Linked DNA regions of Mytilus edulis. The protein of the gene in region 2 purifies or fractionates together with the protein of the main gene of each other region. This does not show direct contact. Links are inferred from orthologs where the notes say so. Each region holds a gene or a part of one and is shown on either strand. Other genes may lie near its edges.

Region 1 (7,413 bases), on a different chromosome or scaffold from region 2:
TATTGTTACAACACTTACAAATCAATAAGCTTTTTATTCTGTGCCTTGCATTCCTGTAGTATATCATTTTCATCCATTAATTCTTGAAGGGTGACATCCTGTAAAATAAACCATCATTCTCCTGACTTCAAATATCGAAATCAAACAGTCAAAACACACCTACACTAGTGTATACAAAGGGGTATGTAAATAAAAGTTGCATATTGGTAGAGTACAAACAAGAATGTGTCCATAGTACACAGATGCCCCACTCTCACTATCATTTTCTCTGTTTAGTGAACCGTGAAATTGGGGCAAAAAATCTAATTTGGCATTTAAATTAGAAAGATCATATCATAGGGAACATGTTCACTAAGTTTTAAGTTGATTGGACTTCAACTTCATCAAAAACTACCATGACCAAAAACTTTAACCTGAAGCAGGACATACGGAGGGACAAACAAACAAATTGACTAACAGACCCACAGACCAGAAAACATATTAAATGCCCCTCTACTATCGTAGGTTGGGGTATAAAAATAAAGAATCAATGATGTACAGTGGAGTCCCCAGTGTCTACGTGGCCGGTGATATGCAAATAAAATCTTTCTATAAATTAATTGCTTTAGTATTCCGAATGGACAGAAAAGATTAAAATTGATCATTTCAAGAGTAAATTTTAAATTACCATCCAATGATTAATCACATTTAGCCAATTTCCATTGCCAAATTATATTTTCAGATAAAGTTGGTTTCATTAAAGTCAAAATTAAATCAAATAGATCTAAATTTTGCTCTGCATTCTTGGCATTCTGTTTGGTTCAAATTCAACTACATTTCGTACTTTAAAATCTTTCCTTAATTCAAATAACCCATTTTCATAAGACTATTAATGCAAGCGAAAAATCACCAGAAGAACTCTAAAAACAGTGGTTTCCCTAATTTTGGACACACATTACACAAGAGCTTAAGGGTGAAACCATACATGCAGAAAATTTTATGAAATAAGTTAGTGATGAATTTGTTCACATAATATTATATTATCTTATTATTAGTTTTATCATTAAATAAAGTGAAGTCATAAGACTTTATGTGCGCGGATACACAGAACTGCACCATAATGTTTTCTAAAAATTTACAATATTGATTGAGACTTACCTCCTTTCCAAGCAAGGTATCAATCTTTGAAGTTGTGATAAGATTAAACTTCCAAAACATCTTGTTATCTGGAAAAGAAAGATTCAGTTAAGATTCTGATATGTTATATAGTTATGGCTGATACAACTACAAGCTATAATTCAAAGTTCAAAATTAACAAGAATGTGTCCAAAGTACATGGATGCCCAACTCACACTATCAATTTCCATGTTCAGTGGACCGTGAAATTGAGGTCAAAAGTCTAATTTGGCTTTTAAATAAGGCCATATCATAAGCAACAAGTGTACTAAGTTTCAAGTTGATTGGACTTCAGCTTCAACAAAAACTACCTTGACCAAAACTTTAACCTGAAACAGGACAGACGAACGAACAGACGAACAGAAGGATGCACAGACAAACAGACGGTCACAGACCAGAAAACATAATGCCCCTCTACTATAGTAGGTGGGGCATAAAAATAAAAAATAAAGGAACTTTATAACTTCAGTAGTCATATCTCCTTATTTTTATATGTCAGTAACATACCCACAAATGTGTTTATCATCAGATGGAGAACGAATTGTGGACAGATGGCTACTTATGAAATTTTTCTGGATTGATATAAATTTGATTTGATTTTTTGGTGTTTTAACTCCACTTATAAGCACCGTATTTAGGCTATTTTGTGGCAGCCAGTTTTTATATTTTTTTTAAAAATAATCGTTATATGCTTTAGCTTATAGAAAGTGCCATATTTTTTTTTAATTTATAGGATTCTGGCCTGTAGATTCAAGTTCATCATGAAGACTAAATAGCACCAAGGTGCATGTTTCACACCACTCCGCCATGAAAATCACTTTAAATGGTTTAAAAATAATAATTTCTGAGTACTAAAACTTTAATCAGAAAACAAAGGCCAAATGATTTGAAAAACTACCAAACATTGATATATCAAAACACAATGACTCTTTTTGTCTATATGAACCAGTCTATCAATTGGACCAGCTGAAAAGTGAAATGTATTATAATAAAAATGATTTCATTTTGGCAATTAGAACTGAAACGTCATACAGTTTAAGGGACTTGTAAGTACATCTAGGTTGTTCAAATACTGTCTTTACCACTGACATACAACATCACAGGCGATCTATATCATCTACATTGCACAATGACCCATCAGCACATCATACCTGTCAACCTCTGGAAATGAAAAGTCAGGTCATGACCTGCATTGAGAAAAAAAATCTCAGGTCATAACGCGTACGACATTTTGCGGGCTCAATTGAAGAACAAAAATATGTTTATATATAATTATATAGTCAATATGTATATGAAACAGTTAGAACATGTATACAAGTTTATTTCAGACTATTGTTATATTCCATAGTAGCAGACTTGGCATTCTTTAAAAGAACTGCACTTGGTTTCAGTTCATAGCAATGCAAATATGTATTCATTTTACAAGAAAGAAGAGCACACAGTGTATCCTTATTAAGATCAGCCCTAAACTCTGTAGCTATTTTCTTTACTAAAGAAAATGCCCTCTCACTGTCTGCATTGCTGTTTGGCAAAACCAGTAATGTTTTAGCAAGTTTTGACAAAACAAAAAATCTTGGCTTGTTTTCAACTACCACTTTGTTATTTTCAACTGAAAGGGCCCTCTTTACTATTTGGGTGGTTTTAGTTTTTCAACAGGAATAACCTGAAGCTATTTCACTGTCAGAGAACATTAATTTACACGGTACGTAGCTCAGGTAAACAGTCCTACATTTTGACTTTTGGTTACATTGAAAAAGACCGATAAAACCGAAGGTCGTATTACTTCTAAATACCGGAAACAATTCCGGTCAGAAATCCGGGTGAAACGGGTAATGTTAGAAATTCCCGGGACCCGCCGGGTAAAGAAAAACTCCCGGGTGAGAGGTGAAAATAACGGGTGTCACCCGCAAAAAACGGGTGAGTTGACAGGTATGGCACATTGCCTATAACATTGTTCAAGTTTGATTTCTGTAAGCGGTTATTAATAAATTTGAATTTCTGTATTAAAAATGAAAAATTTATGTTTCATCTACTTGGTAAAAATAAAAATTGTCAAAGAAAGTGAGTATGGTGACCAACAGGGCGATTTCGTTTTCGATGGTAGGGCACAACAAAGTGATGAACACAAAAGCTATATTGTCCCCCCAGTTGCCTGCTAGCGTAAGCCCTAGGTACATCATTACATTACTGCTATTTGTCCGCCATAACTGGATATCACACAGGTTCCCGTAAAAATTTTGACCGTCATAAAAACAAAATAAGTGACGCCACAATGGAAAAGAGATTGTTGTTGACGTCAAAAGTTCAAGCAGCTGACCTGGGATTAGCAATAAGGTGTATACACCTTATCGCTATTTGTCCGCCATTACTGGATATTACACAGGTTCCCGTAAAAATTTGACATCACAAAACAAAATATCTGACGCCACAATGGAAAAGTGATTGTTGAATGCGTCAAAAGTTCAAGCAGCCGGGTCAGCCGGGATTAGCGATAAGGTGTATAGGCTATAGCCATGTTTTCACATTCCAAACATTCAAAACCATGTTTTGCCCTCAAAATATTTTGACTAGATTCTGCAGACAGCTTGAAATAAAACATGCTATTTTGCACAGATTTCAGTATTTGTGTCTTATTATCACGACAGGACATAATTGAAGGCATTGTATACCCACAGTGGTCACAGACTCATGACACTGCTAAAACCTATGGGAATTGAAAGTACTGTACGCAAACACGCTCGACAGTGAAATTAGCAATATTTACGTGGACTTAGCATGAAGTAAGAGTGTTAGCTATATAACGATAAAGCATAAATTTGTTTATTAACCTTTGGAGAAGACTGTGGTTTATTTTATCAAATGTAAACACGGAGAAACTTCTTCAATATCAAATGTACTCCACGGGTTTCTTGGTTCATTTCCAATTTTTCATGTTGAGGGATTCATGACATCAAATGCAATTAGTTAAATATGATTCTATGGGTTGGGTTTTGCAATAATTAATAGTCAGATCATTGAATAACCAATAAATATATGATATTTATCATGTCAGGCGGGAACGAGTACTTCTCAAAATGGCGACGCTGAATATCCCATAATCAATTTTCTGCGTTCTCACGAGAAATTTGTATGATTTTTATTTTTTATTCTATTACCACAAAATGAAATTTTATTAATAATTAAATAGCAAAATTATACTTTAAATGATTTAGTTTTTTTATTATCAAGCACCTGCGCTGTTGTCATAATAAATTTGAATACGCATGCGCGTTCATTGATGTTCCACTTCAGGCGATCATCTGAAAAATCTGTAGTTTACAAACGGACAGAAAAAGTCTTTCAGCTCTGAAAAAAATTATTCCGGTAAGAATTTTTGAGTTAAACTTTGTTTAATAGACATTTATTTATAATTTTCGTTGAAAATTGTGAGCTGTTACATTCTCTATTTTTCAAAAAACGTTATTACATGACCAATGGCATATCACTTGTTACCGGTGTGTAAGGAGCGGTTTCTCAATTTTTACATTTTTTAAGAAAAAACTAACTGTGACAGTTGTCAAATTTGAAAGTTTATGATTTGTTTTATATTAAGGATTAATTTTAAGATTTAATTTTTATTTCCTGTTTTGAAATTAAAGATTTTTGGTGAAAAACTGTGCACATGTATGTACACGATGAACTTGATCTGGGCGATCTGGGCCTGCGCCAATCATAAATTCCTTTGTTCCAAAATAGGAAAACGCTGTGAAGCGTAACCTTGTCCAAACGGTCATTGACACAATTACCCAGAGCGGCCTATTGATTGGTGGTATGTCGATTTATCATATATGTAGAAAGCGGACGTTCACCATAATCAGAATAACCATTGATTAGGCAAAAGAAAATATGTTATAAAATAGGAATTGAAGGAATTTATTGATTTGTGAGAATGACATTTATATTGATAAAACACTAATAGTAAATTTAAGTACAAAGGGGTTAAGTGGAGTGAACTATTATATAATAAAAGGACTTTTTAATTTATGTTCATCAGTATAGGACAAGGATTTGTATAACATTATCAAGAAATTACTATACAAATCCTTGTTAAAGATTTTTTTTTTTTAATCACAATCAGTAAATAATATAATTTGTAACATATACATACATTTATAAGAATAGTTGAGATAAATTAAAACGTAAGTTTATTTTTGAATTACAGAGGGCTGTATTTTATATGTTTGGGATACATTTGGTGATTTTAAAGATATATTACACTTATCAAGTTATGTGAACTGTCAGGCTGAATAGTACAGTTTGTCTGATTACTGTGGCAATCATAACATCCTTATTTTTATATTTATTAATGAAAGTTATGTTTTTTTCAGATTTAAAAATAACGAATACATATACAAGGAAAGATGTTCAGTTTTCATAAACCCAAGATTTATAGGAGCAATAACGGCTGTTGTATATGCCGAGCAAAATCATCAAGTTCTCGCTTTACTGACAGCAAGCGATATGAATGTGACTTTGAAAATTGCTTTAGAATTAAAGAAAGACGTGCTGGTGAAATATGTAATGCATGTGTACTTTTGGTGAAAAGGTGGAAAAAGCTCCCCTCTGGAACTAACAGACATTGGCATCATGTAAGTTTATATTTTTGACTTTTAATTAGATAAAACAAATTGATTTTAGAGAGATTAAAATTAGGGCAGTATCTGCAAGCTATTGATTTTTCAAAAAAATAGTTTATATCAGAATAGTGATTATTTTAATATTGGATAGCTAATTTTTGCGCTGTGTAAATATTTGTCATAGTTTAAATTCCATAGATTACACACAGGGACTGATCAATGTGTGTGTCAGAAGTAGGTCATGTTACCTGACATAGTATGTACTCTCAAGACAGGTCTTAATACATATGTATTGACCTTCAGTATCTCAATGATTGATCTTGTGGTGTACCAGAAAAGATGGGTTATCCAAAAATAGATATTTTATAAAATTTATAAAGTAAAGAAAAAAATGTTAAAAAAACCAAGGTACAAGATATATTTGAAATAAAGTTACCTGGGGCAGTGATTGAATAATTAATTTGAAAAAAAATACCATATTATTAAGTTGTGAAATGTGTGTAATTTTTCAAAAGGGGGATCAGATATAATTGTTTTCATAGTGTTAGATAATATCTGAAACCAATTATCATCAATTTTCTGATGACATATATCAGATATTTGTAAGATGGGGACATTTTCCTTTATAACTACTGACAATATTTGTGTTATTTATTACCCTCTAGAGGGTATAAAGATTCCTCAAAAAACATGTTGACATGCAGTGAATGTTAGCTATAGAAGTTAGACAGGCTCATCCTGTTAATCAACTCTGTGTAATCAATGTCATAAAATGAAATCTGATTATGTTAATAGGTCAAGTCTGTGTTACTTCCTTATATGTAATGAGGCTGTAACTAAAATTTGAGCTAGACGGATTTAATTTCTAATATAAATAAAAAATATATACAATGTTTGTTTAATTGATACCTAGACTTATTTGGAACTAATACATACATAATTATTTATTGCCAGCATTGGTCCAAGTTCTTATGTAATATTACATTATTAAGCATTCCTATAGAAAGGTCATATATAAATAATTACACAAGTTAAATTGAAATTAGTTTTACTTGTAATATTTCTTTCTTGGGGCTTACAAAAAAAAAACTTACAATTGAGGAACCATTAAAGTTAAATGACAATATTTCTCTGTTCCCCTATCAGGTTTATTAGAGAAATAAACACTTGCTTTCCCACCATAATATTGAACTTTGTATGAAGGCTAAACAAGCACCTGCCTGTTTAAGTGTAGTGTCCTTATAAAATATGTGCATTTTAATCTGAGTTTTAAAGTATTAAACTAGGTCATTGACTGCTTTAAACCGTCTACTGCACTCTGAAAATTTAAAGAATAGGAGGTTGACTATATTATCAAATATCTTTCTATGAGAAACTGTGTGTAATCCAAGGTCTATATATTTTTTTTGTTCATGTAATAGTTAGCTCATTTTTAGACAACATTATGTTTTTTTAGTGTTTTTGAAAAAAAAACCTGTTTAAAATCAATAAAGAACTCAACTAGATTCAGACAGACTCATTTTCTCAAACTGTCATGGCTTTTGTCACATATATAGTATGAAAACTCATCTGAAGCATGTATACAATATTTTGATAATTTGAATTACTATTTTCATTTATATGTTGTTTTAATATTATAATT
Region 2 (7,111 bases):
ATCTGTTTATCCCTATTTCAATTTTTACTTATGACGAAGCTGTTTATTTCATTGAGAACGACATGTGCGCGCTTAGTTTCTACTGATAATTTTTCATATTGCACTTCTCTGCTGAGAAAGGAAATTATCAGTCAGTAAGGTCAAATGAAAATTTGGTAAAAAGTGATAATTATAAATATTATATATACATTGAATCTGATCACTAACCTGTTCGTCAACTCTTCGCTGCATTATTTGTACACCTGTATAGTTAGGATAGGATGTATACCTGTCAAACAAAACCATTTCATTAGTATATAATGTTCATTATTAAATTGACAAGCACATATGTTTTTGTACCAATAATATAAGTTATGCCAAAAAAAAATAATAAGGTAGATATAATAGATTAGCAATTGCAATTTCTTTTCAATTTCATTAACAAAATCAGGGAAATCACATATTTTTCCAAAGCAATCCCAATTACACTAAAATCAGTTAACTTGTGCATGGAACTTAATTTATTTCCAAAGGAAAATTCATTTGGTTTATATGAGAACAAAATTTTTTTACACTAAATTATCCAGTTGAAATTGATTTTTTTCTACTAAATTAATGTGGGTTAAATCAGAAAACTAGAATTCAGTGACTCTTAGATCACATTGCTTGTAGAAACTCTTTGTTCCTTACGTCGTAACTACAATCCCCTTCCCTTTCATGAATGTGACCTACCGAATTAGACTATTTACCGGATTTGTTATCACATAAGCAACATGACGGGTGCCACATGTGTAGGATCTACTTACCCTTCCGAAGCACCTGAGATCACCCCTAGTTTTTAATGGGGTTTGTGTTGTTTATTCTTTAGTTTTCTATGTTGTGTCATGTGTATATTGTTTGTCTGTTTTGTCTTTTTCGTTTTTAGCCATGGCGTTGTCAGTTTATTTTAGATTTATGAGTTTCACTGTCCCTTTGGTATCTTTCGTCCCTCTTTTACAAATAAATTTAAAATTTAAGGTCCTAAATTAGATCCCAATTGCAATGTCACCTATATTTTATGTTTCATATAACTTTTGTTTGTAGCATTATATTAAAATCTTAAAAGATTTTTTATCACATGGACCAAAAAATATATATCAAAGTTTAAAGGTTATTAAGGTGAATAACTCTGGAACGGAAATGTCAATACCATGAAAATTGAACTCGACATGTAGTTTATGATTGATGACACTATGTTATAATTGCCTTAAGATTTGGTCACACAGTAATATTATTATCATCTGAAATCCAAGGAAATACATTTATCAACATTTACAGTAAGGGACATAACTCTTGAATGGAACATGTTTAAAATATTCAATACTAATATAACTTGACCTGTATTTTATAGTATAAATTATTTCAATTTAAATATGAATATCATAGATGTAAATGAACGATAGGTGTCTCCCGGATTCATTTACTTTTGATGTTTACTTTATAAGCTGTAAAAAACATGTTTTGATTATGATCAAGATTGACAAATTCTGTAAAACAAACTGATGCCAGAAAATAAAATGGACAGAAAGTCGTAAAATTGAGAAAGACAAAAAGGTGAAATTAATTTAGTTTACAATTGTTTGAATCATATAATAGAAAGTTCTTAAAAAAACTTTTTATCAAACAAATTCGTTTTACAGTTTATGAAATTGTTCAAAAGCTTTGATAAATGAAAAACAGTCAATTTCAAATCTTGCAATCAATATTATTTCTCAATCTTTGCATAAGAAGATATTCAAGAGTTAATAAAAGTACAAGTGTTGGTCTATTGGTGGATATTTGCCTCATTAGCAATCTCACCAGATCTATTTATTTTTCTATAAATATAGCTGTTTTACTCATAATTGCAACGTGAACATCAAACACTATTTACAGTCTCTTTTGCTTGTTTATGAGAGTTGTCTCATTGACATTCCTACCACATCTTCTTAATTTTACAAGATACATGTATTTTTGGTTGCGTCTTCTTAACATTACTGCTGTTTTTATTTTATCAGGGTCTAGATGATACTCTTTTTTGCCATTTGTCCGCAATTAGTGCACATCACAAAATCCCGTTAAATTATACGTCATAATAGACAATATATGACGCCACAACGGAAAAGCGGGACAGATTTTTAAACAGCAAGGAGTATTCGTAAGACTTCTAACACAACAAAGCAAGAAGAAACAAAGGGACCAAATTATCAACATCAAAGTTGTGAGCACATGCTTACAGAAAAAGATGAAGAACCCCTCACAAAACCTTATGTGGAAACCTTAAGATAATATCAATATGATAAAGTATTGTGTTGTTAAACAGTAAATACTAGCTCAATTTGTTATTGACCGTCAATAAATTTTCAAACCACAGAAAGGGGGAGGGGGCCGAGACAATTTTTTTTGTAAAAAAAAAAATAAAAGTTTTTGTTTGTTTTAATTTTACAAATGTTATGTTATGTGCTTTGTTATATAGTGATTACGTTGAAGAATAAATACAGAACAAGCAACGCCTTTCCCGCGGATATTTTTAGCACACACTGTTTCATCATGGCCGACATTGGTTTTCAAACATCAGTTTATGTTTCCACCCAAATTTCAAAATCCTATATTTGTTTTGGTTGACCAGTAGTGTTTTCTAATGCAATGAAAGCTTACCTTTCCTAACGTATATAACACATAAATTGGAATTTCCTAAATCATTAACAAATTAACATTTTCCACAGCTGTGTATCACCGACGTACTTGTCGGCCGTATAAACAACTGCCTGCCTTCCCCTGTGTGTAATTTCAGTAGACTCGTCCTAACACATATGTAAAGGTGCGTGTCTCGGTAGTATTTTTATCGATACATGCCCTTGACATCTTAAAAAAAGTTAATGTATACAAAATTAGGGATTGTAATATAAGGTTCATTTACAATTGTAAACCATCTGTTACTATTTTATATTAAAGTGGTAAAACGACCGAAAGACGCGCGCCTGTTTAAATGATCGTGTTCCGAATGAAAACACACAAAACACCTGTGTGAGTCATGACCTAGATACATTTATTCTTCGCGGAGAGAAATCGTTTTGAAAATTTATTTTTTAACCATTTGTTAAAAATTTATATATTCTACTTTGAATAAAAAGAGCATTAGACGAATATTCATTGTAAATCCTCAAACATCAGTACGGGTAATACAAGAATATTTCAAAAAGGGTTCTGTGTTCATACATAGACGAGTCCATTTTTAACAACATACACAAGAAACGTGTACTAGAGTACTATCATCAGACACCTCTTTCGGTTTAGTTTACAACTTCATACAAAATTGACGTGAATTATTGTTAAAAAATACAGATTACCTAGACTCCCCTTAAAAAATCAGGATGCAAAACATTATTTTCCTTCGTCTTGTATTTTATGATTGGCAAACTGCCCGAAATTTGGAATTCCAAACATAAAATTATGCAAAAATAGAAGCCAATCAAAGTGATGTGTTAAAATTAGATATTCAAGGTTACTGGGTTTCCCCGTGAATTGATTTAAATTTATTTGACTATGCATGATAATTGATTTAGGAAAGGGATTAGGCGTAACGGGAACGACCACGGTTTATATATATTTATAAACAAAATATATCTGTTATTTTTTCCCAAAAAAGAAATGTTCTGAATCAAAGCTGAAATGATAACAGGCAAAATAAAGATGGGAACCAAACAGTACATAATTACTAGCTTTTACAGACCACCAAATAAAACAGACAGTAAATATGTGGAGAAAACAATCACAGAGATACAAAATCTGAGAAACAACAACAAAAGGAGCACATTCCTCCTTGGAGGTGAATTCAACCTACCTGATATCAGCTGGGAAAGAAATGAGATTAAAGGTAACCAACTGCCACAATCAATCAATCGAGCATTTTTACAGATGTCAGCTGACTTGTCAATCCAGCAAATAAACAACAACAACACAAGAGGAAACAACATACTGGACCTGATGTTTACAAGCCATCCAGGACACATAGAGAGATGTAAAACACTGCCACCTATAGGAAATAGCGACCACGACATATAGTATTAGTGGACATATCAGCAAATGTCAACAAACTGAAACCATCAAAGAGAAAAATATACCTATGGAAGAAAGCAGACTTGGAGAGTATAGGGAAACACCTTGACAGCCAATTTGATACTTTCAAAAAGACAAACTTTGATGACATTAACAACATGTGGACATCAATTAAACAAATTATAAAGGATTCCATGGAAAAACACGTACCAACAAAAACATCACTTGCTAGACAGAGCCATCCCTGGATGAATACCAACTAAGACGTCTAAGCAAACAGAAGCAAAGAGCTTACTCTAAAGCTAACCACACCAACTCAACAAAGGACTGGAAGCGGTATAAAAACATTAAAGCTGAACTTCAAAGAGAGTCTAGACGAGCGCATACAAAATTCATGCAAAACATAGTCAGTGATGATTTATACAAGAACCCTAAAAGATTTTGGTCATACAAAAAGAGTAGGAAACAGGAATCGTCAGGAATAACAACCCTAAAAAATAAAGATGGATACCTACATAGCGACACACCAACAAAAGCTGCTATACTAAACACTCAATTCCACTCAGTATACACCCAAGAAGACCTAAACAACATGCCAGATAAAGGGCCGAGTCCATATCCAACCATGAGACTAATAAACATCAGCCAGAATGGTGTCACTAAGCTACTTAGAGGACTAAGACCGTTCAAGGCAACTGGCCCGGATGACATACCAGCCTTCATCCTAAAGAATATGGCTGATCAACTTTCACCTTACCTGACCAGACTGTACCAACTGTCAATGGACCAGGGATCAGTACCAGAAGATTGGAGGACAGCCAACATAGTCCCAGTCTTTAAGAAAGGGGAAAAGCATACAGCTGCAAACTACCGTCCAGTTTCTTTGACATCCATCTCATGTAAGCTACTGGAACACATAGTACACAGCTCTATAATGGACCACTTTGACCAAAACAACATACTCTGCGATGAACAACATGGGTTTAGAACCAAACGGTCATGCGAGTCTCAGCTGGTAATAACTATACATGAAATAGCTAAAAACATAGAGGACGGCGACCAGACAGACATCATCCTGTTAGACTTCGCCAAGGCCTTTGATAAGGTACCACACGCCAGACTTCTTCGTAAAATGGATTATTACGGGGTAAGAGGTCCCCAGCTGGAATGGATTAAACAGTTTCTGTCTAACAGAACTCAGTCTGTGATCCTTGAAAACCATAAGTCGGACCCTCTTGACGTGGTATCTGAAGTACCCCAGGGCACTGTGATGGGCCCCTTACTCTTTCTGGCCTACATCAATGACCTCCCTGAAGCAACAACATCAAGCGCTAGACTGTTTGCTGATGACTGTCTACTCTTCCGCCGCATTAGGAATACAGCAGATGCAGACTTGCTGCAAAAAGACCTAACCTCGCTGGAAAAATGGGAAAAGGAGTGGCAAATGTGTTTCCACCCGGAGATATGCACAGTCATCCGTGTCTCAGGACGACGTCATCAACACCAGACGTCCTACACACTCCATGGACACACATTAGAGACAATAGACAGCGGGAAATACCTGGGGCTCACTATCAACAAAGACCTCACCTGGACAAACCATATCAACCAGACCATAGGGAAAGCCTCAAAGACACTTGGCTTCTTACGGAGAAATCTTGGTAGGTGTACTCCAGCAACAAAAGCCACAGCCTACTCTACGCTCGTAAGACCAACCCTGGAATATGCCTCCCCAGTATGGGATCCTCACCAAATCACCACCATACGCGACATAGAGCAGGTACAAAGACGAGCAGCTCGCTTTGTTTATAGTTGCTACCAGGACAACTCTCCTGGATGTGTAACTAAGCTACTGGACCAACTTCAATGGGAATCACTGCAACACAGACGATGGAAACAGAGTCTTGTGTTGTGTTACAAGACTCAACATCAGATGATTGCCATTGATCCAGCCAAATACTACACGACAGGAGACAGTAGGACCAGGGGCAACCACAAACTTAGACAAACTAGAGTGAAGAGGGACGTATACTACCACTCATTCTTCCCACCAACAACTAGAGAATGGAATAAACTCCCCGAATCTGTAGTGGAGTCCGGATCCCTAGAGGACTTCAGGGCCAGAGTGAATACCATCCCCTGGACCCAGCCACATCTGAAATAGACAGCAGGATAACCAGTGTACAAAGATGTAATTAATATCATATTTTTATTGTAAATACTGTCCAGATTATTTCCTGGACTTTTACTTTTGGCCAGAGGAGTGGCCTCCTGTCTGTTTGAGATGCGCCCGAGTCAATTACACTTTACTACAGAGTTCGACTCGTAACGGGAAGAAGAAGAAGAAGAAACCTTTTCAAAGCAATAACCAAGGATTCGTATTACCAGAGGCGGATTTAGGGGGGGGGGGGCAGGGGCCCGGCCCCCTTTTTGGGATACATTTTGGTTGCTTATAAAGGGAATCAATGAAGCGTGACTGGAGCGGGCCCCCTCTTAGGCCAGTCATTGGGCCCCCACTTATAACATGTATAAAAATTTCTGGATCCGCCACTGATCACAGGCACTTGTCTCATTAATTCCCCCTCCTAAATATACCTTTCAAAATATATTAAGGTATATACTCAGGAAGTGAAAAGTAAGATAGATTGACTAAAGATTTATGCTTTGTAAATAGTGTCTTGGTCATATTTTTGCGATTAAAAGTTTCTATCCATCTAATATATTAGTTTCCAAGATAATCTCCGAAAATGCTACAAAAAATAATAAAATGGAAAATTGTCATTAAAGGACAAGTCGACTGACGATCTTGGACTTAAATTTGTAAATATTGTCTTGCTGATCATATATGTTTGTATTTAAAGTTTATATCTATCTTATTCTACCATGTAAAATAGTTTCCAAGGATTTGTATATAGTGACACATTTTTGACATGCTGTTTCAGTCAGTGGAGAATAGTTTTGGTCGTGCAGTTTGTTAAAATTAAATTGACCCGATAGTTTCAGACAGCATTGCAGTAGTAAATAAATGTTGCTCATCTGGTAGATAGAAGATAAG
Region 3 (7,514 bases), on a different chromosome or scaffold from region 2:
TAACTGATTACGTTTTCTAATTTACACACTGTAAGCTGGTTTATGATTGTCTTTCTTACTTTTTTGGTACAGCTTCATTCAAGCAGATACCAGTTTATTTTATAAGCAATGCAATGAAAAGAAATTAGAAATTTGTTATGAAGCATTTAATTTCTAAATTTATATTATTATTCAATATTAATTTGATATTGAATAATAACTTATTAATATGGATTAGATAAAATTATTAGTTCGAAAAATTATAAAGAGTGCGAAATTTGAATTTTTCTCTTATTTCTTGCTTATTGTACTCTTTAGTCCGCACCCCAGCTGGTAGGTTCAATTTTGGAGAATAAACCGCAGACTATACAAGCCTTTTATCGGTAAACCACATCTTCTTTTTTATATTGATCTATAACTTGTTAAGATAAAATAATATCTCAAATATCAAATCAATATCTTCAAAATTGATTTGCTGGACTGATGGAAAGGGACAGAAAAACCAACATGTACAAATGTACAATGTATGTCTAATTTTTTTCAACATTCATTCAATAAATTTTAAAATAAAAAAATGTTGTGTTGTTAGACAAGGAAAAGTTTCAATCCACGGATTTATGCCATGAGACAGGAAACAAGATTTTATATATTTAAGGCCAAGCAAAGTTTTAAATAACAGGACAAATTTAAATTAAAAATAATTGTACTGATACATAATTTAGAGGCTTTCTGAAATTCCACACAAAAACATTGTTATTAAAACCCTGCATCACTTTTGCCATTTTTAGATTTATACGCACTTTTGGTGTTACTTTGTATTTCATTTCTTGATCTTGAAATAAGCTTCTTTTCAAGTTTCATAAAAAATCATCAAAATGATAGTCTTTTTAATCTTATCATTTTAAAATGAAAATTCATGAAAAAAAATCAAGACCAGACTGTCTTTAAATGTCAACTGCAAAATATAAAGTCTAAGACATTCTATGACCATCTTTCAGTAAAATATTGAAAAGTCAAAAAAACAAATTTTTTATCAACAACGAAATTTGAAATTCAAGGTATGAAAAGTTTTGCTATGTATTTTTTACTGTGCTTGTAAAGTTATCTAGGTAAGAAATGGCTTGGCGAAGCAAAAATTAAACCTTGTATGAAACTAACAATTCTTAAAATACAACACATCTTGCTGTTATTAGATATTTAATAATAGGATACAATTACTAACTTTCCCAAATTTTGTTTGTCCTTGTTAGTTGTTTAAAATGTATCGTTATTCTATTTATACAATTAAAGCAATTTAAACAAATCAAGAACAATTACATTTGTGTAGGTCTAATGTCCTACAATGTATGGGTCAGTTTTAAAGCTGACAACAAATACATGTAGTCAACAACACAAGATAAAACTAATTCAAAATAAAATATATTTTCCTCTAATCAATGTAAGAGAAGACTCGCATATATATTTTTATTTGCGAGTAATATGGACCAAAAGTTGATATTATGCCCTGGGAATGGGTGTTGTTTACATTTTGAAAAGGTACAGCCCCATCTCATCAATGAACTAAAGTTAACCAATCACAACTCTCTCATTGCCGGACTATTTTCGTTTGTAGTACAAAATCCACGTGCTAATGTTGTTTTCCTGATGTAAATACTCCCAATTTACACATATGAAACTCTTGAAGTTCTGAAAATATAATGTTATGATGCTGTGTTTCCACAGCAAGCACTGTCAACACACAGAACTTATGTGCAGTCAATTTTCAAAAGTAGAATCAGACTTACTTTGGTGTTTATCGGCAAGCAGGGTAAGTGAACTGGAGATGTCCCTTCTTCGGTAGAAACACATAACTTTTGCTTCGACGTTGCCATTTGGAGTCTGAAAAAATGAAAATAGACATCTGATATCGAAGCCATTTCGATCACCTGAACACGTGACCACCCAGTGTGATAAATTAACACCCCATAGGTACCTCTTTGCCCTTTACCGGCCTCAATTTACATTCTTTTTTATTAAACAGCTAATTTTACGACATAAAAAAGAAAATAAATAAAATGCTGTACCTTGTTTAGTTCCTCTATACGTCGAATTTGGTATGGAGTTGTTGAACTTGTCTCAAAATAGACGTAATCTGTAATAAGAAAATAAAAATTCTTTGTTTAAAATTAATTTGTAGTATAATCCTTCCGCCAAAACATAGTCCATTTTAAAAAGCTTCCTTGAACTTAAGTACCAGTTGAATTCAAATTTAAAGTATTTTTCTAATATAAATAATTGTAATACAAACTGAATATACGAATCTTTCCATTGATTTGTTAGATAAACATTCGTAAATCCATGTTTTAGAAAAGGAGAAAAACTTCTTCCTTCTGTCATTCCGACCGCTTTACTTCCCCCTTGAGATCCCCAAACTGAACTTCCTTTCCACATTACACTTCAAAACATTCACAAAAATGATTGAATATCCATTTTCACTAGTAAACAAACAAATTTCCTAAAAAATGCGGTTTATTTCTCTTTAAATGCATGATTATGGTGACACAATATTCCAACGCGTTGGAAGAGTGGGGACCGTCCATGCTGTTTCCCAATAATTCTTCCGTACCTCCTACTCTGTACATGTTTGCAGCCATGACTGGTAATTATTGTGTTGTTCTCTCAGTTGTGTTCCAAAAGTCCAACAAGCCGACAAAAATACATCAATAAAATATGGGTAGTGTCCGGTCAGTATCACCCCCAGACGACATTTCATGGAGTCGCCATTTCTCGGCTTTTCTGTCTTCCTCCTCTTTTCACACGTGACGTCATTCGTCCTTCGGCGGCTTTGGTTTTCACTCCGAACTATTTTGATGTCTTTCATAGAGATTACATACATATATCTTGTAGGGTATCAAAGTTCATAATTTTTTTCGATGAAAATAATTGGAATATTTGAAATTTACTTTAATTATTGTTATTATCTAAATCCTATTAATTAATTGTTTATCTAAACTTAACTTTTTTTAAATCCTGTATTTTGAATACAATGAAAATCAATCATTAGGCCAAATAAAAAATGATTTGTTATAGCTTGTTTAGTCACGCACAATGATTTACATATGTTTTGTACCACGTAAGCAGGCCAAGTATACGACTGAATCGTATTCATAATTAAAAGGATAGTATAATCATAAACTTCAGTCAGCGTTCAGATCTTACTGTATATTATCCACATTCTTAATACGTCATTAAAATGTCTGTTTGTTTGTTATTTGGTATAAGAGAAAAAAGGGGGATAGACTTTTCACTATTTGCAATTTTATATAATGTGTATTAGGAATGCGGGAACTACAATAATTGTCTTTTTATCATGTGCAATACCTGATTTCTAATTAGATATATCTGAAAGACTATACAGAAAAATAGATAAATTATATAGATAGTTGACAGTCGTACAACGATGTGGTGGGCAGTAGTTACTATTATTTCAGGCTTAATTTGGTAAGATTAAAAAAAAAGATACATGCACATTTGGATATTTGCTAGCATAGTGAAAAAGTAGCCATGACGCTAGTAGTGGGACTTTTTGTTTATATAATGCACCTTTTGATACTCTACATCAGAGACATGTCTCTGTCTACATATATATAAATTGCCATGTCATTTTGAACCGTGCCGATGATTGAAAAAAAACTAGCTTAGAATTTTTAGTCATTGCAAACATTCAATGATTATACATTGTTTTGTATAGATTTTATATATATATATAAAGATGTGGTATGATTGCCAATGAGACAACAGTTTCTGTCCACAACAGACCAAAATGACACAGAAATTAACAACTATAGGTCACCGTACGGCCTTCAACAATGAGCAAAGCCATACTAGAACGCATAGTCAGCTATAAAAGGCCCCGAAATGACAATGTAATACAATTCAAACGAGAAAACTAACGGCCTTGTTTATATATAAAAAAAAAAAAAAATGAACGAAAAACAAATATGTAACACATTAACAAACGACAACCACTGAATTATAGGCTCCTGACTTGGGACAGGCACATACATAAATAGTTTTGGTCGTTTTTTTAAGTTTTTTAAAATAAGTCTTTTTTTTAATCATAATGTTTGGGGTTGTTTTTTTTTCGTTTTTAATGTTTATGTTTGTTTTTGCTTTTGTTTTGTTTTTTATTGTTGTTGTTGTTGGGGTTTTTTTGTAGGGGGTGTATTTTTATCGCAAATGATTGCTTCACTTCTATTGGGAATTCGATACAAATGGCACTGAATATTCAAAACTTACCTATACTATAGAATAGAACAGAATATAGAATAAAAAAAAATGATTTCCCAAATTACAGGGCCGATAATGGGCATTAAATCAGATGCAATTAATTGACATAAAAGGATTACCGAGATTGCCATACATACGAAACGTATATATGAATACGAGTATGACATGCCATGAATCAACCACTTGGACGTCAATGGTGATCTTTTTCAAAGTCTAAAGTAAAACTAGTTACTTGCATGTGTACAAGGCCGTAACTACCCTTGAGGCAAGTGAGGCAATTGCCTCACTAAAATTTCGACACTGATTATTTTTTTTTATACATATATACAAATAAAATAGTCTTTTGTTGTTCTGTCTCAACCTTAATTTCTATAACTTGTCATCATTCCTTTAAACTATTCTTCCTGGATATAACTCAGCATCTCAACGGGTGATGTTTCTCAATTACATTAACCTAGTAACGATAATCATCATGGATCTCTGGTTAAAAACAGGCTCTTGCAGAAAAAGGAAAAGCGACACTGAAGGTAAAGAAGGAATAATTCTAGTAAACTAATTTGTTTGTGAACGTAGTCTGCGTATTGCATATAACTTCATTAGAACAATCCAAAAACGATAAGTAGACTGACAAATCAAGTAGTGGGCATCGCAAGGGGGCAGTCCTGTCTGTGTATTCATTTCTCAGTTTCATCAACTTTAATCTTTCTCTTTACAGATAAATAAAATATAAATAATATGAAACATGCATGGATTAGTTTTTCATGATCCATGTTTCTTTATCCTTAAAAATTGAAAGAACATCCCATATTCCAATTTGACATTATTGAGGAATGGTATAGAACCTTTATCACAGGATTTTGTCTTTACTTATTCGGGACTACGGAATTTCATTTCTTTATATTCGGGGTTTCGGAATCAGACACCCCCAACCCATAACCCCTTAATTTATAGATTCTGGAACTAAAATACCACCGACTATTTCCAGAAATAATTTGAAATTACGGACCTACATGTAAACGTCAAACTCCATTTTAATTCCCCTGTACCCATATCATATATACTTAATACTCTATAGATAGATCATATACATGTATCTTATCTCATTCTATCCCTAGTTTGTTTACTCTTTGTCAGCATACAAGCGAGTTTAATATTTTGTAACTGAGACTGTATGATGATGCTAGCCTTTATAGGAAAGCTTAATTCCCTTTTGCAAACAAAACTGTTACTACCGATGCTGCTACCGAATTGCTGATGGAGAAGGAATTGGAAGAAGACATTGATCATTGTGTTGATGATAATGTGCTACCTTTAGAAACACAGACTGACCTGAAACGACTGAAATCTAGGAAAAGAGCATACATGAGTGGCGAGAGGTTGTGCGGTCTTGCCATGCTCCATGTTCATCGCGATAAGGATATCAGCAGACCAAAGTTATGATTCTAAAACAATTTAATTGACTGAACCCACCATAGAAATAATTGACAAACTCTACTGAATCGATGTTTGTTCTATGTTCTGGCGGCAGATTTAAATTGATATTTGGATGATTATCTTACATACAAATTCAAATAAAGTTGTTAAAAATTTGGTATTAGTAAAAGTCTTTAAATATGAACAATTTATATAAAAACTGTCCAAATTCAAAATATTATCAAACTCTCTAAAAATGCCTAGAACGCAGGATTTTGCACCATTCATTTCATACCCTCCAAAAAAATTTAACGCCTCGCTTCGCTCGGCTCAATTATTTTGCCTCACTAAAATAAGATGCCTAGTTACGGCCTTGGTGTACCTTATTACTAATTCATAAATTTTTTTCGAACATTTATTTTTGCGATTTTGTCATTTAAGACTAAAATGTGACATTCTTCGGAATATTAAAAATCCTGTTTAATTCATATAAAAAAAATCAAAATGCGAGTTAAAATAACAACATAATCTTGTTGATATAAATAAACAGTCTTTACAATAATACAATAGATAAGAAATCTTTCTTCGACTATACCAACATAAAAAAAGGATTGACCGTCCATCCCAATATGGAAGCCCATTGTGAATTAAAAAAAATGAATAGATGTCAGGTATACGTGAATTCTCAAGACAGCAACTATACGATGTCGACTTTGCTCATTGTTAAAGGCAGTACGGTGACCTATAGATATATAGTCGTTAATTTCTGTGTCATTTAGTCTCTTGTGGAGTATTGTCTCGTAGAAAACCATACCGTCCACATCATCTTATTTTTATATTTAACAATATATATGCAGGTGTGTATACAGTTCATCAAAATCTTAATCGCACAGAAACTATAAAAGTTGTCAAAAATTAAACAGCTGTGCCATCAACACCCAATTTTCAATATAACGTAAAACTTAAACCAAGATACAATTGCTGACGAGGTTCCTGACATGATGATGGGTCATGCAGATGTTTATATTGCCAGTTCCTGGATCACTTAATTATTACAGCAAATGGTAGTTTCCAGAGGCGGATTTTGGGAGGGGGCAGAGAGTCTGATCCCCTTTTGTGGGAAACATTTTGTTGATTTATATATAGGGAATCACTGAAGCATGTCTGGAGTGGATCCCCTCTAAGGCAGTCCACGATCAGGCACAATTTTTTTTAATAAGCAGCTAATTCAAAATTGTCCTAGTTCAAGGATTTTAATTCGTAAAAAAATGTAGGGTGGGACTAAGTGAGTGGCTATACATCTTGGCAATCATGTTTTAGTACAGATAAATTAGGGGAACTAAGCTTAATTTTTACGGAATGAGTCACTTTTTCACACTGGTTAAAGAAAGTCGGTGACAATTGCCTCCTCCTTTATATACTACATACATTGTATAGCAACACGGTAAGTAGTCCAATTTATCTCCCCTAAAAATTAGTTGAAATTTTGGTAAAGCAGTACGTTTTTGTTCGAAAACTCTTTGAACCAGAAAATGTATTACAATACGATAATATCTTTTTGCATTCCTTGTTTATAGAAATATATTAAAGAAAGAATGACAGTATTTAGACGTTCAAGTTTGCTTATTGTAGTGAAAATTTGGACCGATCATGTAATGTATGCAGGTGTGTATAAAGTTCATCAAAATCTTAATCGCACATGTTATTAATCTTCTTCTTCTTTTGTTACAGAAAACCATCAAACGGTACTGATGATTACTTTCCGGCGCATGCCTGGTAAATGTTTTTAATAAATTTATGTTGATAATTTTTGTCAAAATATAAATTAACAAAGTATTTCTTATTCAAAGTTG
Region 4 (7,599 bases), on a different chromosome or scaffold from region 2:
CCATTAGTGATTTTTCTTTTTGGAGCCTTATTAACATGCCAATGGTAGGATATGAATCTTGTATAAATGACTAAGACCGACTAAGGCTAATTTGAGGGGTGGTCGGAGGGGTCCTGATCCGGAACTCCCGGCTTAAAAACATGAAATTCCGAAGATGCAGTATTTAAAGAAATTCATATCCCGAAATACCGAAATCGAAAAATATAACCCCCGATCCTGTAAAAAAACACCTGATCCCGATGTCACGAAAAAGGTCTTGCCTCCCTCTAATCTCTACCCTATTTTCATTTTTGCCAAATCACTACTTTTACTTTCAACAATAAATTTTTATGTCCGGTTTTGGTCGAGGTAGTTTTTGATGAAGTGGAAGTCCAATCAACTCGAAACTTAATAAATATAGTGCCGATGTGGCATCCGTGTACTATGGACACATTCTTGTTTCCACATGTTTTACTTATTTTAATATATATGCAACTGGTATAACCCCTTAAATAGTAAACATTTCAAAGAAAACATTGAGACAGAATGCAGAGAGTCTCTATATATTAAAGTAGTATATAAACGCAAAAAATAATTGTCCTCTCTAAGGAGGTATAATAGTTTATGCTTATTTGGGCCCTTTTTTTGGCCCCTAATTCTTAAACTGTTCCAAGCGAAACCCCCAAAATCAATCCCAACTTTCCTTTTGTGGTTATAAACCTTGTGTTTAAATTTCATAGATTTATATTTACTTTTACAAAAGATATTGTCTGGAAACACTATATTTCAGTACAAACCCCACAGAAGTCATTTTTGAATTTATGACATACAGTAGGAGTTAGTAATAATACCAGCCAAAAATTCTTACTCAATTTAAAATAATTATTAATTTAACAAAGTTCATCATTTACAAAAGGAGTGCAATTTTGCACACACCCACAAGTTCTAAGGTCACAGGGGTCCTCTGAGCAACTAGAGTAAGTATTTCAACTACTGTATCACTAGCCTGTCAACACTGAACCTGAGACTATGAGTAGGAACTGCATGTAGCAAGTGCCTTAAGATTACAATCTTAATTGAATAAATTTTTCAGTTTTCCTACAGAAGGTCAGCAGTTCTCTCTGACTTCCTCCACCTGTACATACGGATGACCTTGAAATAGCAACCATGCTGAAAGTGGTGTCCCCCATCAATTTACTTTTATAGTAACAATATCTAACATACTGCTCTTTTATATCAGAAAACTGCCTTTCCAGATCTGCCATTTCATCTAAACAATGAGTTCTTCTGTGGTCATATTCTTCTTCATCTAGGTCTGCAAAACAAATGAAAGAAATGTAGGAAAAAATTAAACAGAGGGTGGTAAAGGGTTATTTTCGTGCAACGTTTTCCGCCTTTTTTTTTTTTTTTTTTTTTTTTTTTTATATTAAACATATTTTATTAACAATCACCTGTTACATCAACCCTCAGTTGCCCAGGGAAGCAACTAAGGGGGCCTTTTTAATTCATGTGTTTTTGTGTTTTGAAGTTTTATTTTTCGTTTTCTTGTGTTTGGCTCGACGTGCGTGCCTCGTGTTCTCCTTTATTTATTTTCCGTGTTTTGTGTCGGTACTCTTAATTTCTCGTGCTTGTCCTGCATTTGATTTAAAGTCAGGCCGGGATTAAATTCAAAGCCCCGGTCAGTCAGGAGATTGTTTTAAATTATGTGTTCCCATACAGAATTTTTAAAACTGCTATAAAATTAATTATAATGAATAATATTTTTCTTTTAAATCAGTTGCGACTAGCGGACGCTAAAATGTGACTGCAGGGTCATCATGTCCATCATATATAATGGCTAGATGATCTCCAAGAACGGCTGATCAATAAATTATTTTTTACTTTTTACATTAATATTTACTATTTTATTTCTCGTGCTTCGTTTTTTCCGATTTTTTTTTCTCCATGCAACGCTTTTGCCATTTTTATTTCACGTGTTTCCGTGTTGAGGGCCTCCCTTTACCACCCTCTAAACAGATATTCCTTTTAGCTCCTTGGTCTATTATCAAATGATTATCTATAAATTTCTCTTGAGTCTAAAAAGAAGTGAAAGTGAACATTTTCAAACATTTGTCAAAGAAACATTTTTATATTATCAAAATGTTCATAAATGTTCTGATCAATATTGAATTATTGACTTCCCTGACACTAATTAGCTGCAATTTTTTCTGTATGTAGTGACCTTAACCTGAGACCTCTCTCAATAATTTTGATAACAAGTTTGAGGTACTGGTACATGTATTATTATGTGAAACGACATTGCATACATGTGTATGATGTGTTAATCAGTACTTGCGTGATGGGTCCTAGACCCTTTGCATTTCAAAGATGTAGATATATGGACTGGGTGGTGTGTCATGCCTAAAAGTGTTCTACATGAGCACATGGCATGAATATTATGATAATAACCACAACATTGAATGTGGCGCATAGAAAGTGTTGGCATACATATTCAGTCGTCCATATGGTCAAAGACTTAGGTACGAAATGGGTGTGATAAGACATGACTATAATTCTACATACCTTCAGTGACAATATGGCATACAAGCCCTTCATAATATATTAGCCCTTTAAATTACAAATGTCAAATGAAAGAAAAAAGTCGATTTCTAGACACTTTTTTATGGAAGAAAAGGGACGTGACAATGCTTCAAATGATCATATACTAATAAAAAAACAATGTTTTTTATAAGTAGCATTCAAAATTTAAGAAAGACTACCTCACTTTTCTCTCGGAATTTGAAATAATTATTTACCAGATATTTCGTCGTCGTCAACAGAGCCAGATTCTGAGTCTTCGTCTGAGCTTTTATCGCTTTCAGCTGGTTCGTGATCCATCTCCTCTTCTTCTGTTTCATTCTTCTCACTTTCAATTGTCGGCATTCTGTTAAATATTAGATATTACAGAATAAGAGATACTTTACTTTACTTTAAAATAATGTAAAATGCGGTAAACGGAAGTTGTATTTTCAAGAGAAAACAATTCAATTACGCATGCGTTTTGGAATATCCCTATTTTCGGATGTTCTTTGGTTTTAACTATACAAGTTCATAACGCGCCTTAATTCAACAAGAGTGCACACACTGAAATGTCTGAAATGTCTCGCCTTCTTTACTAATCATTGATATTATGTTGATACTCCTAAATATAAAGCTTTATTACGACCGTCACATAAACTTAACATGAACCATGAAAATGAGGTCAAGGTCAGTTGAACCATATATATGCCAGGCAGACATGTACATCTAACAATGCTTCCATACAACAAATATAGTTGACCTATTGCTTATAGTTTAAGAAAATAGACCAAAGCACAAAAACTTAACACTGAGCAATGAACCGTGAAAACCAGGTCAAGGTCAAATAAAACCTGCACGACTGACATATAGATCATAAAATATTTCCATACACCAAATATAGTTGACCTATGGCATATAGTATTAGATAAAAAGACCAAAACTCAAAAACTTAACTTTGACCACTGAACCATGAAAATGAGGTCAAGGTCAGATGACATCTGCCCGCTAGACATGTACACCATACAATCATTCCATACAACACATATAGTAAACCTATTGCATAAAGTATGAGAAAAACAGACCTAAACACAAAAACTTAACTATAACCACGGAACCATGAAAATGAGGTCAAGGTCAGATGACATCTGCCCACTAGACATGTACACTGTACAATCATTCCATACAACAAATATAGTAAACCTATTGCATAAAGTATGAGAAAAACAGACCAAAACACAAAAACTTAACTATAACCACTGAACCATGAAAATGAGGTCAAGGTCAGATGACACCTGCCAGTTGGACATGTACACCTTACAGTCCTTCCATACACCGAATATACTAGACCTATTGCTTATAGTATCTGAGATATGGACTTGACCACCAAAACTTAACCTTGTTCACTGATCCATGAAATGAGGTCGAGGTCAAGTTAAAACTGTCTGACGGGCATGACAACCTTCCAAGGTACGCACATACTAAATATAGTTATCCTATTACTTACAGTAAGAGAGAATTTAACATTACAAAAAATCTGAACTTTTTTTTTCAAGTGGTCACTGAACCATGAAAATGAGGTCAAGGACAATGGACATGTGACTGACAGAAACTTCGTAACATGAGGCATCTATATACAAAATATGAAGCATCCAGGTCTTCCACCTTCTAAAATATATAGCTTTTAAGAAGTGAGCTAACACCGCCGCCGCCGGATCACTATCCCTATGTCGAGCTTTCTGCAACAAAAGTTGCAGGCTCGACAAAAATAAAAGCAGTGACATACCCACACTTGTGCATACCCATCAACCCTGATCTTGTTAACTTAAGCATCCAGTCTTTCTTTTTTTTAAATTACGACAGTGTTAAAACGATGCAAAAAAGAGACAGGCGTTTATGTAGCTGCTTTAGCGATGAGGGACAACTTGGACCGTCAATACTAGTTTGACTAGTTGAGATCCAATAAAAACCTCTATAATGCAGAACCTATATATCGGGACGTCAGGATTGGGTGTTTTTAAACTCAGGATTTCGGGATTGATCCTTTCGGGATCCGGTATTATTTTTTCGAATTTCGGGATCCGGTATTATTTTTTCGAATTTCGGGATGTCGGGATTTAAGTTTCTTTACTACTGAAATTTGGGACATTGGGATTTCGAAATCAGGACGCCTCCTAATCAAAACTAAGCGGACAAAGTATTTTAAAGATCATTTGAACTCAATATATAAATATATATATATATATATATATACAACTCGTCTAAACATCCACCCAACAATGTTAGATCTGTATATTTGCTTTCGCAAATTTTTGGTTCTTCCCTCGCCGGGATTCGAACCCATGCTACTGTGATATCGTGACACCAAATCGCCTGCACTGCAGCCGTCCCGCTAGACCACACGACCACCTGGGCTCTCAAAAGAAGAGCTTTCGTTGGCCGTGTGTTACCTTTCTTCGTCAGTTTTAATCTAGCGGCGTACTACAGTACATAATATATAAGGCATGAAGATGTTATTGTTACAGATCAGCTAAATTATCTATAGTAAAGGATCCTACAAATTAATGTAATATACAGTCACAGAAAATAATTATATTTATAAGTACGTCTGAGTCAGTGACAACTCTACAACAGATGTATACATCGGACCCATCACGCAAGTACTGATTAACACATCATACACATATATATAGGTCTAGCGGGACGGCTGCCGTGCAGGCGATTTGGTGTCACGATATCACAGTAGCATGGGTTCGAATCCCGGCGAGGGAAGAACCAAAAATTTGCGAAAGCAAATTTACAGATCTAACATTGTTGGGTTGATGTTTAGACGAGTTGTTATATAATATAAAATTAAAAACTTTATAATCATATATATATATATTTTCTAGGCACTTTATATATATATGATTATTAAGTTTTTAATTTTATATTCATTGTGGTTTTAATCAGACTGTGTTATATTTAACATGGTGTTGCTAAATTTGAAAAACATATCAAGTTATCTTTGGCTTGCAGACTCTCAGAGTTGGTTTATAGATGATCCGAGTTAACTTATTGACGGTCAGAGTTGTCTTCATAGACTTGTCTATATAAAAGTCTAGTCGAACTGTTTATACTGATAAGTCAGACAATGTGGGATCTATTTTTTAGTCAGACAAAATTTGAAAGAGGTTCTGAACTATATAAATGCATAGGCGGATCCAGGGGGGTGGAAGGGGGGGGGGGGCAGGCCCCTTTTTTCGGGGAAAAACTTGGTTGATTATATAGGGAATCATTGAAGCTTGACTGGAGTGCCCCCCCCTTTAGGTCAGTCAGCGCCCCCCCCCCCCCCCCCCTTAGGAAAAGTTCTGGATCCGCCACTGAAATGATAATGAATTACTAAATCTTCAATCTAACGTATAGTCGAGGCTTGAATTCGACACGACAGGTGCCACTTTTGGAGCAGGGTCTACTTACGACTTAATCCGGAGCACCTGAGATCACGCGGCCAGTTTTTGGTGGGGTTCATGCTGCTCAGTTATTCTTTAGTTTTATATATGTTGTGTCATGTATACTCAGTGGTGGATCCAGAAATTTTCATAAGTGGGGGCCCACTGACTGCCTATAAGAGGGGCCCCGCTCCGGTCATGCTTCAGTGATTCCCTATATAAGTAACCAAATTTTTCCCAGAAAAGGGGACCCCCTCTAAATCCGTATCTGATACTATATTATTTGTCTGTTAGTCTTTGTCTTTTTTAGTTATTTTCGATATACAAGATTGAATGACCATCTGGTATATTTCGCCCCTCTTTTGTAGAATACATATAAAGAAGGCAGTGGCTATTTGACCGGCACCGGCCAAATAGCAAATTTGCTATTTAGCCGCACTGAATAAAACTGTTCATTGATGTGATTAGTAGAGAATACAAAAGCTTAATAACAATTTAAAATCATTTTATCACAATATCAAGCATTAATAAAAATACACTGAGTACAATCAAAAATATTGAAGATTTTCATAAATAAATAATTTATAACTTTATAATATTAATTATACGTTATACTACATATGAGATCTAACAACTATATAATCTTTTACAATAGGAACACAGATATTCCGTAACGATCAAGCATGGGTGAATTGCATCTGTATTTTTTTTAAAAGAGAAACTAAACATCGTCATAGATTTTAAAGTCTACATAGTTATATCTATGTATTTCTTGTATCTATACTGTCAATTAAGACCCAAACCAAAATTTAATCAGATACACGTACGTTTCATATTGATTAACTGCGCACCTACGATTCATAAAAATAATCAAAGATACTTCACCAGCTGTTGCATTCAACTCTATTGATTGATTGGAATTTAAGAAACACCATTTATACCTTCAACACGAGTAAACAAATGATATGACAATTTAAACGTATACAAAACGCGGAAGCCACGTTGCAATCAAATTTCTATTTCTTGTCCAAGTGACTTTTATTTTATCATATAAGATAGGAGCAACATGGAAACAAATTTGGTTTTTCTTGTATTCACACTTTACAGTCTTGTTCAGGGGTAAGTATCCTACAGTTTTTACGTTTTATTGATATCCCGTTATCATTGAACTCATATCGGTCTTTGTGTCAAACAATTTCGATTTTTCAAATAAATCATTTGTGTTTATAATTTACTTTAACTCGCTTTTAGGTGATAAAATATTAACTTGGCTTTATCACAATATCGGACACATACCACTCCATGACATTCTTTTAAAATTGAATTCGATTTTCATCATTAAATACGTCAATCTTTCACGACTTCATACCCTGTCTTTTAGATTGTAAAAATCATGTGTGCGATATAGTTTCAAAAGTTTTCCTTTTGGAGTGCAAAATATTCGCTCTTAATTATCTTCAACACGAAGATACAATAAAGCAGATTTATTTTTTAGAAGTGTTTACTGGTATTGACATATTTGATTATTGCCAATATTGGAGATGTTTAATTTTGGTCTTTTCGTTTTCGTTTAGTTGTTCCGGTTAGAAAGTTGTGATAAATGAGGATTCAAGTGCATTTAAAAAATAATAAT

Evidence for each region.
Region 1: the proteins of paired amphipathic helix protein Sin3a-like (region 2) and SIN3-HDAC complex-associated factor-like purify together in Homo sapiens (affinity purification with mass spectrometry; 4 studies listed by BioGRID and IntAct, counting the BioPlex papers as one, with this or other methods). This does not show direct contact. The link is inferred for Mytilus edulis from reciprocal best matches to the Homo sapiens genes SIN3A and SINHCAF.
Region 3: the proteins of paired amphipathic helix protein Sin3a-like (region 2) and metastasis-associated protein MTA3-like purify together in Homo sapiens (affinity purification with mass spectrometry; 3 studies listed by BioGRID, with this or other methods). This does not show direct contact. The link is inferred for Mytilus edulis from reciprocal best matches to the Homo sapiens genes SIN3A and MTA1.
Region 4: the proteins of paired amphipathic helix protein Sin3a-like (region 2) and breast cancer metastasis-suppressor 1-like protein-A purify together in Homo sapiens (affinity purification with mass spectrometry; 3 studies listed by BioGRID, with this or other methods). This does not show direct contact. The link is inferred for Mytilus edulis from reciprocal best matches to the Homo sapiens genes SIN3A and BRMS1L.

What each region holds. Positions count from the first base shown.
Region 1 is NC_092353.1:70,783,559-70,790,971, reverse strand, and holds the start of SIN3-HDAC complex-associated factor-like, read left to right. Parts: upstream 1-4,399; 5' UTR 4,400-4,518; intron 4,519-4,874; exon of another isoform or gene 4,875-4,963; intron 4,964-5,522; 5' UTR 5,523-5,555; coding exon 5,556-5,783; intron 5,784-7,413. Other genes in the region: serine/threonine-protein phosphatase 6 regulatory subunit 3-like, read right to left, coding at 19-98, 1,138-1,197. UniProt on the Homo sapiens protein: Subunit of the Sin3 deacetylase complex (Sin3/HDAC), this subunit is important for the repression of genes encoding components of the TGF-beta signaling pathway.
Region 2 is NC_092354.1:81,250,417-81,257,527, forward strand, and holds the start of paired amphipathic helix protein Sin3a-like, read right to left. Parts: upstream 3,027-7,111; 5' UTR 2,656-3,026; intron 269-2,655; 5' UTR 232-268; coding exon 208-231; intron 1-207. UniProt on the Homo sapiens protein: Acts as a transcriptional repressor. Corepressor for REST. Interacts with MXI1 to repress MYC responsive genes and antagonize MYC oncogenic activities. Also interacts with MXD1-MAX heterodimers to repress transcription by tethering SIN3A to DNA.
Region 3 is NC_092346.1:39,274,240-39,281,753, reverse strand, and holds the start of metastasis-associated protein MTA3-like, read right to left. Parts: upstream 3,018-7,514; 5' UTR 2,613-3,017; coding exon 2,585-2,612; intron 2,111-2,584; coding exon 2,043-2,110; intron 1,858-2,042; coding exon 1,764-1,857; intron 1-1,763. UniProt on the Homo sapiens protein: Transcriptional coregulator which can act as both a transcriptional corepressor and coactivator. Acts as a component of the histone deacetylase NuRD complex which participates in the remodeling of chromatin.
Region 4 is NC_092346.1:84,390,183-84,397,781, forward strand, and holds the start of breast cancer metastasis-suppressor 1-like protein-A, read right to left. Parts: upstream 3,006-7,599; 5' UTR 2,902-3,005; coding exon 2,775-2,901; intron 1,295-2,774; coding exon 1,204-1,294; intron 1-1,203. Other genes in the region: uncharacterized protein, read left to right, coding at 7,033-7,085. UniProt on the Homo sapiens protein: Involved in the histone deacetylase (HDAC1)-dependent transcriptional repression activity. When overexpressed in lung cancer cell line that lacks p53/TP53 expression, inhibits cell growth.